2 linked regions of the Stegostoma tigrinum genome follow. Each later gene encodes a partner of the first gene's protein in a complex. Links are inferred from orthologs where the notes say so. Each region holds a gene or a part of one and is shown in the gene's direction. Other genes may lie near its edges. The genes, in order: samhd1 and DDB1- and CUL4-associated factor 1-like.

The links.
Region 2: the proteins of samhd1 (region 1) and DDB1- and CUL4-associated factor 1-like are in contact, whole or in part, in a crystal structure (PDB 4CC9), measured with the Homo sapiens proteins. The link is inferred for Stegostoma tigrinum from reciprocal best matches to the Homo sapiens genes SAMHD1 and DCAF1. Residues at the interface, in NP_056289.2 of Homo sapiens: Ser616, Arg617, Val618, Gln619, Lys622; in NP_001336097.1 of Homo sapiens: Asn1090, Glu1091, Asp1092, Thr1114, Gln1116, Asn1132.

The regions. Positions count from the first base shown.
Region 1 is NC_081372.1:11,096,022-11,103,173, reverse strand, and holds the start of samhd1 (deoxynucleoside triphosphate triphosphohydrolase SAMHD1), read left to right. Parts: upstream 1-4,110; 5' UTR 4,111-4,204; coding exon 4,205-4,385; intron 4,386-7,152.
Region 2 is NC_081364.1:62,918,507-62,926,613, forward strand, and holds the start of DDB1- and CUL4-associated factor 1-like, read left to right. Parts: upstream 1-5,005; 5' UTR 5,006-5,083; intron 5,084-8,107. UniProt on the Homo sapiens protein: Acts both as a substrate recognition component of E3 ubiquitin-protein ligase complexes and as an atypical serine/threonine-protein kinase, playing key roles in various processes such as cell cycle, telomerase regulation and histone modification.

The DNA.
Region 1 (7,152 bases):
ATAGCCCTTGCACATTTTTTTTTAAATCCAAGTAACGATCCAATGTACTGAACCTGCTTTTACCACATTTCCAGGCAGTGGATTCCATACCCTCATGAAGGTCTGTGGAAAATTGTGTTGCTAACTCTTGCTGGCTACATTCCTGCTGGCTTCTTCCCCACACACAATTACCTTAGGAGCTCCTTCAAACACAATGTCCCATGGTCATGGCCACATATTCTTGCCCCCCTACATATACCCCTATTGCTGTAGTCCTCCCATCACTAACTCCATTGAATTCCTACACTGCAGATAAACACCTTTCAGCCCATTGGCTCTGCACTGACCCTCCAAACAGCATCTGTCCCAGACCCACTCCCCCACCCTATCACCATCCACATCCCCATCACCCGACCTTTACTATAGCGAATCTCCCTACCCTGAACACTATGGGGCAGTTTAGCACAGCCAATCCACCTAACCTGGACTGAGTGAAGTAACTAGAGCACCAACAGGAAAACCATGCTTTCAACTCATTAAAGAATGAATAAAAGCAAAATACCGCAGATGCTGGAAATCTGAAATAAACACAGGGAATGCTAGTCAAACTGTGTAGGTCTGGCTGCATCTATGAAGAGAAAGAGTTAATATTTCACTTCTGGTTTCAATTATGCCTCTCTTTCAGACCTGAAATTTGGACTTGGTTACATTAGTGTCATCTGTTATCTGAACTCAGAAGCATTAATAAGTGCAATGCCTGCCATGTTAATCAGGCCTTGGGTGATAGCACTCGTGGCACTTTAACCAGAAGATTATGGTTCAATTGGAACTTCAGAGACCCATGTGTAAAAATCTAGGCTCACATTCCAGTGCAGTACTGAGGGCGTGCTACATACCTGGGAGATGCCATTGTTCGAATAAGACATTAAACCGGCCACATTCTATTGCTCTATCTCCTCATTTAAGGCACTTGTCAAATCTAACTCCCTGTTGGTCGTCTGTCATCTCTTGATCTGGCATGGGGTGAAACTTTGAATCATTTCCTGCAAAACATCTAGGGACATTGGTCGTTTAAAAACACAGGCCTCCAGCCTGACTGATCTGGTTAAATCAAGTTGCACCTTCAAATGGAACCAACTATGGATTGTGACATTTGTCTGTTTTTAACCATTACTGTGCCAATGTGGTGCATTCCTGAAAGTTATTTTAGGAAAGTTTATTGTCCATGGTAATACAGAACTGGAATATTACAGTGAAATGAGCCAAGCTGTCAAACTATTCATCTTGCATTCATCAGGGCAGGATCATGCATGTCTCTTCATCCCGATTACCGCAAGTTGAAAAGTTTTGAAAGACTGTTGGTTGTCAGAAAGTTCTGTATTCTAACATTGCTAGATTACGTTCGAGTATTTTGACATTAACTTTCAGTTCTTTCCAATAGCATTCATGTAGCACCCTTCAAGTCAGAAGAATTCCAAGATGATTCTACAGCGGCAAAATTGGACAAACATCAAATTGAACCAAAGATTAAATTAATTTTTTAAAAAATTAAAAATTAAATATTAAATAAAGATAAATATTAAAAAGAAGCAAAATGCTGCAGATGCTGGAAATCTGAAACAAACTGAGAAGATGCTTAAAAAACTCAGCAGGTCTGGAATTATCAATGGAGAGAAAAGATCATGAGACACAGGAGTAGAATTAGGCCATTCAACCCATTGAACCCATGTTGATCATGGTTGATATGTTTCTTAAATCCATTCTCCTGTCTTCTCCCTGTAACCTTTTATCTCCTTACAAATTAAGAATCAACACATTCAAAGACATGGTCTCCACAGGCTTCTGTAGCAGTGAGTTACATAGACAACCACTTTCTGGCTGAAGAAATTCCTCCTCATCTCAGTTCTAAAAGTTGTCCCATCACTCTGAGGCTGTGCCTTGGGGTCCTAGTCTCACCTATTGGTGGAAACACCTTCTCCACAGCCATTCTATCCAGGCATCTTAGTATTTTGTAAGTTTCAGTGAGTTCATCACCCTTCATCTTTCTAAATTTCATTAAGTACAGACCCTGAGTCCTCAACCATTCCTCATATGACAAGTTTTGAGTTGGTGTGACTCTTCTTCAGAACTATTATAATGTAAAACCAAAATTAAAAATAGGTGACTGAAGACTTTAGCAGAAGTATTACATTCTTAAACCATTTCTTCCCAAATTACAGATTGCAGCAATGAACATAAAGGATGTGCAGTAGGGGGAGGGGATATTTTGAAGCTTATGAAGTCCACATGGAGACCATTGGGTTGCAGGGTTCCTGAGGGGAATATGAGGTGCTGTTCCCTCTAGTCTGTGGGTGGCATTGTTATGGCACTGGAGGAGGCCCAGGATGGACATGTCGTCCAAGGAGTGGGAGGGGGAGTTGAAGTGGTTCACGACTGGGAGGTGTTGTCATTTGTCAGGAACACAGTGTAGGTGTTCCACAAAGCAGTCCCCAAGCCTCCACTTGTTTTTCCCGATGTAAGAGTAGGCCACATCAGGAACAGCGGATACAATATACCACATTAGCAGATGTGCAGGTGAACATCTGTTTAATGTGGAAGCTTTTCTTGGGGCCTGGGACTGAGGTTAGGGGGGAGGTGTAGGGGCAGGTGTAGCAGTTCCTGCAGCTGCAGGGAAAAGTGCCGGGGTGATGGGGCTAGTGGGGAGTGTGGAGCGGACGAGGGAGTGACGGCGAATTCTGTTTGCACACTTTGGCTGACAAATCAGTGGTGTACTGAGAGAACATTGCTCTGTTGAGTTAAGTTGAGACATTAAACTGAGAAAAAAATGGAAAGAATACAGATGCTGGAAATCTGAAACAAATACAGAAATTGCTGGAAAATCACTGACCCAAAATGTTAAGTCTGCTTCTTCCCCATAACAGCTTTTTCCAGCAATGCCTGTTTTTGTTTCCTATTAAACTGAGCTGCAGTTTGCCCGCTCAGGTGGAAAAAGATCGCTTGGCACTACTTCTAAGAACAGCAGGAGAATTACTCCAAGTCTCCTCCTGCCTGCTGTTTATCCCCCTGGGCAATAATACATTGCTGTATGCGAGAGGTTGATGCACTAGTTCACCTGACATACTCCCTAAAGTATAAAAGTGAACAGATTTTAAGGGAGACAATGGCTTAGCGTATTATTGATGGACTATTATTCCAGAAACCCAGGGGATGTTCTGGAAACCTGGGTTTGATACTGCTTTGGCAGATGATGGAATCTGAATTCAGTTTCAAAATAATCTGGAGTTAAGAGTTCAATGATGACCATGAATCCATTGTTGATTGTTGGAAAAACCCTTCTGGTTCACTAATGCCCTTTAGGGAAGGATATCTGCCGACCTTAGATAACAAAGTATTTAGGTGGATGAACACAGCAGGCCAAGCAGCATCTCAGGTTGTGCTCCTGAGATGCTGCTTCGCCTGCTGTGTTCATCCAGCTACACACTTAATTATCTTGGATTCTCCAGCATTTGCAGTTCCCGTTATATCTGCCGACCTTACCTGGTCTGGTCTACATGTGACTTCAGACCCACAGCAATGTGGCTAACTGTTAACTGCCCTCTGGGCAATTAGGGATGAGCAATAAATGCTGCCAAGCCAGTGATGCCCACATCCTGAGAATGAATAAAGGAAAAAATTACTTCAAAAGTAATTGACTGGCTTTACTGTATTCTAGGATGCCCAAAGGATGTGAAAGATGCTTCAGAAATGGAAGTCATTCTTTTCTAATCTCTGGGAAGCTCTGGTTGAAAGAGACTCGGGAACAGTTTTTCAATGGAGAATTCAGAAAAAGCTTGAAAACTTATAAGAACATGGAGGAAGAGAGGCCAATTTGAGGTGTGCCTAATCTTAATAACGTAACGAGGAGTACTGCAGAAGGCAATAAGTGCAAATCACCTGCCCAGTCCTGTTAGAATTTTCTCGGCTTCTAACCATTGAGTCTGCATGATCTGATGCTCGGCGATATGTTGGTAACAGGGAGCACCGCCGCTTTAACTGGGGGTGGGAAGTGGGTTTGATTGTCAGTGGGAATGGCTATGCTGAAGCCCCAATGAGCGGTCAGGGGCGAGCTTCTTCCGGGTTTGGCATTCATTCAGCGGTGAGGGACAGTCTCAGTGAGCCCGGCAGCAGCTCAGAGAGAGAGCGCCCAGTACACAGCAACCTAGCAGCATTGTGGAGACCGGGGAAAATGAATCAAAATGAGAACCGAAAGAGGCCGAGAGCCGCTGAGACAGACATCCACCCGGTGACCCCGGCCAAAAGAGTGGCCCTATTCAGGTTAAAACCCGATTACCGACACTGGGACGTGGACGATGTCTGCTGTTTTCTGCAGACACATGGATTTGAAAAGTTCGAGCAGTTGTTCAGGGGTGAGTGTGCAATCTTTGGACGGTGCATAGCCGAAGGAGTTCCTTCGACGCAGTGTGCCGGTTTTTTGATTGAGCTCTCCGAAGCCCCTCTCCCTCCTTCTTAACCCTCTCCGTAGTTTGACCCACCCCTCTCTTGCAAGAGCAATTTGCAGGCAGGAAGACAGGATATACTTCCTCTTAGAATTACCTCATCCCTTTGCTATTTCATTTCGTTGAACTAAATACGTCCGAATGTTGTCTATTAATAATGTTGTAGATCTTGTTTTGAAAGGATCCCTGCCGAGTCAGATTTACGAGAATGTTGCGAGGGTTTGGAGGGTTTGAGCTATGGAGAGAGGCTGAATACACTGGGACTATTTTCCCTGGAGCGTCCGATGCTGAAGGGTGACCTTGCAGGAGTTTATAAAGTCATGCGGTGCATGGATAGGGTGAATAGCTAAGGTCTCTTTCCCCCAGAGTAGGGGACCCCAAAACTAAAGGGCACTGTTTTAAGGTGAGATGGGGAAGTTACATTTAAAAGGCACCTGGATGGGTATATGAACATCAAGGGCTTAGATGGATATGGGTCAGTTGCTGACAAATGGAACTAGATTAGTGTAGAATATCTGCTAAGCATGGCTGGGTCACACCAGTTAGGACTGTTTCTGTGCTGTACCACTGTATGACTTAATGCTGGAAGATTGTCGGGATCATTTGAAGTCTTTCACCAGTCCACATCAGCATTCTGTTTAGATGTGGAATATTAGAAGCATTTTGGCTGTGCTTGTGTATTCTTATTTGGGCATCACCATTCTCTGATGCATGTGGTATACATCTCTTTGGGAGTTCTCATTACTGAACTACTGTTTCTCTAGTGGGAGTTAGGTGGAAATTCCACTCAGGTGTTCTTAAGATCTCTGACAAAGCACAGAGGGGAATAAAAGTGAGGACTTTCAGCTCTTGAGTTGCACCTGCAGTCATGCATTTAGATGGCGAGACCATAAAACTGAGATGAGCAGAATAGGCTGTTTGGCCCATTGAGTCTACGCTGTCATTCAGTAGGATTGTTGCTGATTTGATAATCCTCAATTCCACTTTCCTGTCTTTTTTTCCTCTCACCCTTGATTCCTTTCCAGATTTAAATCTGTCAATATCAGTCTTTGTACGCACTTAACAGCAGTGTTCCCTCTAATTCTTTCCCCCACTACGTGGATTTCTGAGGTCTGATCAGGCAGAAGCCTGTGTTGTGGAACTTCCTGGTATCTGTGTAATTGAATGCCTTGGAGGGAACATTGCTCAGCAATCCATCCTTGACAGTTCTCTGTGGTAAGGAATTCCACAAGTTCACTCCCTCTGAGAGAAGAAATTCCTCCTCTGTCTTGGATGGGTGACCCCTTTTTAATATGAGATTATGCTGTCTGCTCCTAGACTCTGTCACAAGGCGAAACACCTTCTGAGTCGACCTTTTCAAATGCGAGAAGAACCTTGTCTGTTTCAAAAATGTCACCTTGCATTGTTCAAAACACCAATAAGGAAGTAGGCTGTTGCAATATTGATCATATTACATCTTTGATTTTAGAGTAAAATAGAGAAAGGAGGGAGGGACGTGATTTTTCTTAACCTTAAGTAGAAATGGACACTAATTGCACACATTGCAATGGGCTGAGCTATTAATTGGTAAACATAAAAGCAAAATAAAATATTTGTCATGCCCTCCGTTCACTGTAGCTTTAAAATTGTTCCCCACGCTACTTTCCAATATGAGCCTGTTTTGAGACTTGAAAATTGACAAAAGGTAATAAAGCAGCTTAATAATGCTGTGTATATAAATACTTATTGAAATTTGGGTATTATTGATCAAATATGTAATATAAGTATAAGTTTTGAGAATTCCATAGCCTTGCTGATCATATTGCCGCTGCCAGCTAAAACTGCATCTACGATCCCTGTGGGTAACATGACCCACTGTTTGCAAACTTCTGCTATAAAAACACAATTGTGTACTTAAGACACCAGACAAGGTAAAAGATAGTGCCGCACTGATAGAGGCTTACACAAATTCTATTAATATGTAAATAAATGATCAAACAATGGGAAGTATTTCCACAGGCATTAGGTTCAGTAAAATTGCACACTAGAGGCTAATGGCTCAATTTTTTCGACAACAGAAACTATAGTAAGAAAATAAAGAGCTAGTCTCAAGTTACTAGAAAATACTGACATGAATGCAAGGCAAAGGAGATTGGAAGAGCTATTAAACACAATAGAAAGAGAAAGTAAGCAACAAAGTGGGTGGGAAAATGGGGAAAAGTGCTCTGTCCAGTTTTTTTTAAATCAATGAACTAATGGAAAGGGAATGTGAACTTATTTGAAAACAGTTGAGGATAAGATTATAATACAAAGTAGGACAGAGGGAGACATGATAAGTGGGTTTTTAAAATCTTTTTCACATTGGAAGAAGGGGCTAAAGTAACCTTGGTGCAAAAGAGCCTAAGAGTAAGTCAAGGGGAAGGGTTTTGTGGATTCGTCATAAGCTTGGAAAGATTGGTAGTGGAATAAACTTTGTTGGCCTGCCAGAATAATAAAAGCCATTGATAATGGGAACTGCAGATGCTGGAGAATCCAAGATAATAAAATGTGAGGCTGGATGAACGCAGCAGGCCAAGCAGCATCTCAGGAGCACAAAAGCTGACGTTTCGGGCCTAGACCCTTCATCAGAGAGGGGGATGGGGAGAGGGTTCTGGAATAAATAGGGAGAGAGGGGGAGGCGGACCGAAGATGGAGAGTA
Region 2 (8,107 bases), on another chromosome or scaffold:
CAGTGTGGATCTACCCACATCATGTAAACTGCAACTGGTCAAGAAGACGGTCCTCCACCCAATTTAGAACATAGAACATAGAACATAGAACAGTACAGCACAGAACAGGCCCTTCAGCCCACGATGTCGTGCCGACCATTGATCCTCATGTATGCACCCTCAAATTTCTGTGACCATATGCATGTCCAGCAGTCTCTTAACTGACCCCAATGACCTTGCTTCCACAACTGCTGCTGGCAACGCATTCCATGCTCTCACAACTCTCTGTGTAAAGAACCCACCTCTGAATCCCCTCTATGCTTTCCTCCAACCAGCTTAAAACTATGACCCCTCGTGTTAGCCATTTCTGCCCTGGGAAATAGTCTCTGGCTATGAACTAACTCTATCTATGCCTCTCATTATCTTGTATACCTCAATTAGGTCCCCTCTCCTCCTCCTTTTCTCCAATGAAAAAATTCCGAGCTCAGTCAACCTCTCTTCATGAGATAAGCCCTCCAATCCAGGCAGCATCCTGGTAAACCTCCTCTGAACCCTCTCCAAAGCATCCACATCTTTCCTATAATAGGGTGATCAGAACTGGACGCAGTATTCCAAGTGCGGTCTAACCAAAGTTTTATAGAGCTGCAACAAGATCTCACGACTCTTAAACTCAATCCCCCTGTTAATGAAAGCCAAAACACCATATGCTTTCTTAACAACCCTGTCCAATTGGGTGGCCATTTTAAGGGATCTATGTATCTGCACACCAAGATCCCTCTGTTCCTCCAAACTGCCAAGAATCCTATCCTTAATCCTGTACTCAGCTTTCAAATTCGACCTTCAAAAATGCATCACCTCGCATTTATCCAGGTTGAACTCCATCTGCCACCTCTCAGCCCATCTCTGCATCCTGTCAATGTCCCGCTGCAGCCTACAACAGCCCTCTATACTGTCAATGACACCTCCAACCTTTGTGTCATCTGCAAATTTGCTGACCCATCCTTCAATTCCCTCATCCAAGTCGTTAATAAAAATTACGAACAGTAGAGGCCCAAGGACAGAGCCCTGTGGAACACCACTCACCACTGACTTCCAGGCAGAATATTTTCCTTCTACTACCACTCGCTGTCTTCTGTTGGCCAGCCAATTCTGTATCCAGACAGCTAAGTTCCCCTGTATCCCATTCCTCCTGACCTTCTGAATGACCCTACCATGGGGAACCTTATCAAATGCCTTGCTGAAGTCCATATACACCACATCCACAGCTCGACCCTCATCAACCTTTCTAGTCACATCCTCAAAAAACTCGATAAGGTTTGTGAGGCATGACCTGCCCCTCACAAAGCCGTGTTGACTGCATTTAATCAAGCCATGCTCTTCCAGATAGTCATAAATCCTATCCCTCAGAATCCTTTCTAACACCTTGCAGACGACAGACGTGAGACTTACTGGTCTGTAATTGCCGGGGATTTCCCTATTTCCTTTCTTGAAGAGAGGAATTACATTTGCCTCTCTCCAGTCCTCAGATACGACTCCAGTGGAGAGCGAGGATGCAAAGATCTTCGCAAGTGGCAAAGCAATTGCATTTCTCATTTCCCAAAGCAGCCAAGGACAAATCTGGTCCAGGCCTGGCGAATTGTCAATCTTAATGTTTGACAAAATTTTCAGCACATCAGCTTCCTCTATCTCTATCCATTCCAGCATGCACACCTGCTCTTCAAAGGTTTCATTCACTACAAAGTTCGTTTCTTTCGTAAAGACAGAAGCAAAAAACTCATTTAGGGCTTCCCCTACCTCCTCAGACTCCACACACAAGTTCCCTATGCTATCCCTGATCGGCCCTACTCTTTCTTTGACCATTCTCTTATTCCTCACGTAAGTGTAAAATGCCTTTGTGTTCTCCCTAATCCGTTCTGCCAAGCCTTTCTCGTGCCCCCTCCTGGCTCTCCTCAGACCATTTTTGAGCTCCTTCCTTGTCTGCCTGTAATCCTCTAGAGCTTCCTCCACCTTATGTAAGCTACCTTCTTCCTTTTGATGAGAAGCTCCACCGCTCTCGTCATCCAAGGTTCCTTCCTCTTACCCCTTCTTGCCTGTCTCAGAGGACATATTTATTCATCACTCGCAACAACTGTTCCTTAAACAGTCTCCACATGTCTATAGTGCCTTTACCATGGAACAATTGCTCCCAGTCCATGCTTCCTAACTCATGTCTAATCGCATCATAGTTTCCTCTTCCACAACTAAATATCCTCCCATTTTGCCTAATCCTCTCCTTCTCCATAGCTATGTAGAATGTGAGGCAGTTATGGTCACTATCACCAAAATGCTCTCCCACCACAAGATCTGATACCTGCCTCAGCTCGTTTCCGAACACCGAGTCTAGAATGCCCTCTCCCCTCGTCGGCCTGTCAACGTACTGAGTTAGGAAACCCTCCTGAACACACCTTACAAAAACAGCTCCATTCAAATCTTCTGCTCGAAGGAGGTTCCAATCAATATTGGGAAAGTTAAAGTCACCCATTACAACAACCCTACTACGTCCACACTTTTCCAAATCTGCCGACCTATGCTTTCTTCAATCTCCCTGCTGCTGTTGGGAGGCCTTTAGTAAACCCCTAACGAGGTGACTACTCCCTTGCTGTTCCTAATTTCCACCCATACTGACTCGGTACGCAGATCTTCCTCGACAAAGGAAGCTTCTGTAGCTGTGGTACCCTCTCTGGTTAGTAGTGTTACACCTCCTCCTCTTTTTCCCCCTCCCTATTCTTTTTAAATGCTCTAAACCCTGGAACATTCAGCAACCATTCCTGCCCCTGAGAAACCCATGTCTCTGTTATGGCCACAACATCATAGCACCAGGTACTGATCCATGCTCTAAGTTCATCACTTTTATTCCTGATACTCCTTGCGTTAAAGCAAACACACTTTAACCGATCCCTTGGTTCCTTCCCAGGAAAATCCTTCCCACTAGCTGGTCTACCTCTTGCTATTGCCTCACCTGCATCAACTCTCACCTCCGGGAGACAGCTCAGGTTCCCACCCCCCTGCCATACTCGTTTAAACCCTCTCGAACTACTCGAGCAAACCTTCCACCCAGGATATTGGTCCCCTTCCAGTTCAGATGCAACCCATCCGTCTTGTACAGGTCCCACCTTCCCCAGAAGGCATCCCAATTATCTACATATCCGAAGCCCTCCCTCCTACACCAGCTGCGCAGCCACGTGTTAAGCTGCGCCCGCTCCCTGTTCCTCGCCTCGCTATCTCGTGGCACCGGTAATAAACTAAAGAACACTACTCTGTTCGTCCTGCTTTGCAGCTTCCATCCTAACTCCCTGAAATCACTTTTTATATCCTCAATCCTTTTTCTGGCTATATCATTAGTGCCAATATGTAACACGATTTCTGGCTGTTCGCCCTCCCCTTTTAGAACCTTATACACCCGATCGGAGACGTGCCGGACCCTGGCACCAGGGAGGCAACATACCTTCTGGGAATCCAGATCCTGACCACAAAATCTCCTGTCGATTCCCCTAACTATCGAGTCCCCTACCACGAGTACTTTTCTATTCTGCCCCCTTCCCTTCTTTGCCACAGTGTCAGGCTCAGTGCCAGAGAACTGACTACTATGGTAGGTCATCCCCCCCCAGCAGTATCCAAAGCGGTATACTTATTGCTGAGGGGAATGCCCACAGGGGATCTCTGCACTGTCTGTCTGTCCCCTTTCTTCCCCCTAACTGTAACCCATCTATCCTTGTCCTGAGCCTTAGGAGTGACCAACTCCCGGTAACTCCTCTCAATTACCCCCTCTGCCTCCCGAATGATCCGTAGTTCAAAAAGCTCCAGCTCCATTTCCCTAACACAGTTTTCAAGGAGCTGGAGTCGGGTGCACTGCCCGCAGATGTGGCCAGTGGAGACGTGTGCCATGTCTCCCAGCTGCCACATTCTGCAGGAGGAGCAAGCAACTGCCCTAGCATCCATACCCCACTTATCTGAACACCCACTCAGTACTAAAGTAGAAAGCTTAGTTCAAGTTGCTATAAAATTAATAACAAACTTAAGGCAATTAGGGATGATTAATGCTGGTCACTCCAACCCATTGCTACCAACTGTAATTGCTACAAATGCATCTTCTGTAGGACTGGAAACTATGCTGTTTCAGGTACAGATGGAAAACATAAGCCAGTTTACAGCACTTGCCCTTCACTGCCAGACACCTAAAAGTGATATCCATTATGGGAAAATGAAGCATGAATGATATACTAGCGATATACAAGCAGCCTCAATAAAAAAGTAATGAATTGTCACATTATCTTCTCACAGCCTCCAGGCCAGATAAAGCCTCAATGTGTTTCTTAGATAAAATTAATGTTTAGTTAAACTCAACATACTTTGCAGTACAGGACTAAAAACATTATGATTACCAACCAGTCTGTTTTTAATTAATGATTTTCATTTTTCTGCATTTTGATTGCAGTTGGCTGGCGACAAATATTGGTTTCACTTGGAATGGAGCCAGACAATCTTTTTAAGGCGCCTTGAAAGGGCGGGGAAGGCATGACCTCGCATTGAAAGGGACTAGCTCCAAGCCTGCAAGGCTCCTAACCCTAAACCCTTTCTAACACAATTGAAAGACAACAACGAGCGCCATGTGGCAAATTCAGATTGCAAACAGGAATTGGCACAGGGATAGCGTACTTACCACCTCTGAAGGACTGGGTTCAACTGCCACTTGCTTCTGAAGTTTTCCAAACAGGTTGGTTACATACCTACAGTGAAGAAAGAATAAAATTCGGCTGAACTACAGCCAAAGTTGTAAATTCTGCTACTTTTTAAAAATAAAGCCGGTGCACACACATCTGCAGCAAATACGGTCTCCTGGTCCACAAGTAAGGACCATACCACTGCGCGTACGATGCTCCACGCCACGTCGGGAAACGACGATGCTACGCAGGCGCAGTGATGTCCAAACGCCTGGACTACAAGCCCCAGAATGCCGAGCGGCCACACGCAGCAACGAACTGACGTCACAGCCGCCATCACTGGGAGCGTGGAGCCTAGGGCCTGACGCTGATACAGACCGAGCTCATCGCTGCTAGACAGCCAGGTCAGTGGGAACCCGCCCGGGGATCGCTACTATCGTAGTCTCCGGCGGTGCAGCAGGGCAGCCAAACGGTAGCCCCCACACCCTCTCGGCTCGCGGGGAGGCGGAGCGAGGCCTCACCGTAAGCGGGGGGAGAGGGGAAGCCGCAGCCGGCCGTGGTTGAGGCCCCGGGCCCACACGTGAGGAGGTGGAGGGGGGGGGAACCGGAGCGGTCCGCGAGGGAGAGGAAACTACAACAAGAACAGAGAGTTGGAGGGAAAAAGTGGGGAGAGACTGGAAGGAGGACAGGATCCGGAGGAGGACGGGGTTGGGGAAGCAGTGTGGCTTGAAGAGGATGACGGGGGACGTGGGACCGGGGTGGGGAGGTGTGCAACGATGGGGACGTGGGGCTTAGGGGGGGGTCAACGATGGGGACGTGGGGCTTGAGGTGGGGGGTGTGCAACGATGGGGACGTGGGACTTGGGCGGGGGGGGTTGCAACGATGGGGACGTGGGACTTGGGCGGGGGGGGTTGCAACGATGGGGACGTGGGACTTGGGCGGGGGGGGTTGCAACGATGGGGACGTGGGACTTGGGCGGGGGGGGTTGCAACGATGGGGACGTGGGACTTGGGCGGGGGGGGTTGCAACGATGGGGACGTGGGACTTGGGCGGGGGGGGTTGCAACGATGGGGACGTGGGACTTGGGCGGGGGGGGTTGCAACGATGGGGACGTGGGGCGGGGGGGGTTGCAACGATGGGGACGTGGGGCGGGGGGGGTTGCAACGATGGGGACGTGGGGCGGGGGGGGTTGCAACGATGGGGACGTGGGACTTGGGCGGGGGGGGGTTGCAACGATGGGGACTTGGGCGGGGGGGGTTGCAACGATGGGGACTTGGGCGGGGGGGGTTGCAACGATGGGGACGTGGGACTTGGGCGGGGGGGGTTGCAACGATGGGGACGTGGGACTTGGGCGGGGGGGGTTGCAACGATGGGGACGTGGGACTTGGGCGGGGGGGGTTGCAACGATGGGGACGTGGGACTTGGGCGGGGGGGTTGCAACGATGGGGACGTGGGACTTGGGCGGGGGGGGTTGCAACGATGGGGACGTGGGACTTGGGCGGGGGGGGTTGCAACGATGGGGACGTGGGACTTGGGCGGGGGGGGTTGCAACGATGGGGACGTGGGGCGGGGGGGGTTGCAACGATGGGGACGTGGGACTTGGGCGGGGGGGGGTTGCAACGATGGGGACGTGGGGCGGGGGGGGTTGCAACGATGGGGACGTGGGGCGGGGGGGGTTGCAACGATGGGGACGTGGGGCGGGGGGGTTGCAACGGTGGGGCGGGGGGGGTTGCAACGATGGGGACGTGGGGCGGGGGGGGTTGCAACGATGGGGACGTGGGGCGGGGGGGGTTGCAACGATGGGGACGTGGGACGGGGGGGAGCAACGATGGGGACGGGGGACGTGGGACGTGGGGGGGGAGCAACGATGGGGACGGGGGACGTGGGACGTGGGGGGGGGGTGCAACGATGGGGACGTGGAACGGGGGGGTGCAACGATGGGGACGTGGGACGTGGGGGGGGTGCAACGATGGGGACGTGGGGGGGGTGCAATGACGGGGGGGTGCAACGACGGGGACGTGGGGGGGGTGCAACGATGGGGACGTGGGGGGGGTGCAACGACGGGGACGTGGGGGGGGTGCAACGACGGGGACGTGGGACGTGGGGGGGTGCAACGACGGGGACGTGGAGGGGGTGCAACGACGGGGACGTGGGACGTGGGGGGGTGCAACGACGGGGACGTGGAGGGGGTGCAACGACGGGGACGTGGGACTTTCGGGGGGGGTGCAACGACGGGGACGTGGGACTTTCGGGGGGGTGCAACGACGGGGACGTGGGACTTTCGGGGGGGTGCAACGACGGGGACGTGGGACTTTCGGGGGGGTGCAACGACGGGGACGTGGGACTTTCGGGGGGGTGCAACGACGGGGACGTGGGACTTTCGGGGGGGTGCAACGACGGGGACGTGGGACTTTCGGGGGGGTGCAACGACGGGGACGTGGGACTTTCGGGGGGGTGCAACGACGGGGACGTGGGACTTTCGGGGGGGTGCAACGACGGGGACGTGGGACTTTCGGGGGTGGGGTGCAACGACGGGGACGTGGGACTTGGGGTGGGGTGCAACGACGGGGACGTGGGACTTGGCAGGGGGGTGCAACGACGGGGACGTGGGACTTGGCGGGGGGGTGCAACGACTGGGACTTGGGGTGGGGTGCAACGACGGGGACGTGGGACTTGGGGGGGGTGGGGTGTGTGCAACGACAGGGACGAGGGACTGGGTGGGGGGTGCAACGACGGGGGCGAGGGACTGGGTGGGGGGGGTGTGCAGGGACGAGGAACTGCGTGGGGGGAGGTTGCAGCGACGGGGACGAGGGTCTGCGTGGGGGGTGGATTTCAGCGACGGGGACGAGGGTCTGCGTGGGGGGGGCAGAGACGGGGACGAGGGTCTGCGTGGGGTGTGCAGAGATGGGGACGAGGGACTGTGTCGGGGTGGCAGAGTTGGTGACGAGGGACTGTGTGGGGAAGTGGGCCTGCAGAAGCACTTGAGGAATGGGGTGCTGAGTCTGCCTCTTCGCAGACTCATTCCTCCAAAGAGGTGGGTGAAGAGTCTCGGGTGATGAGACCAGAGGTGGTTGGGGGGAAGAGAAAGCAAGTGTGGAGAGTGAGGGAGGAGAGAAGAGGCCTACTGAGGTCAGGATGGAAAAGACTGCTGTTTCAGTCTCATCCTCGATTAAATAAGTACTTCAGTCTACCCTGTAGAACAAAATAATATTTCAAATAAAAATGGCAAGCAAAGAAGGCCCAATTGTCTTCAGTGCAATTTGTTTGTCATCTTGTCTTGCAATAAATATTGAGTTTATTTCCTCCCAACCGTTTTTTTAAAGGAATATTGTTGAGATGCTTTGAGCTGATGGGTTGCATCTTATGTTTTGAAAAATAGCTTCAGTGTGTGGATATGGGTGCCCAGTAGATGATATTCCATGTATATT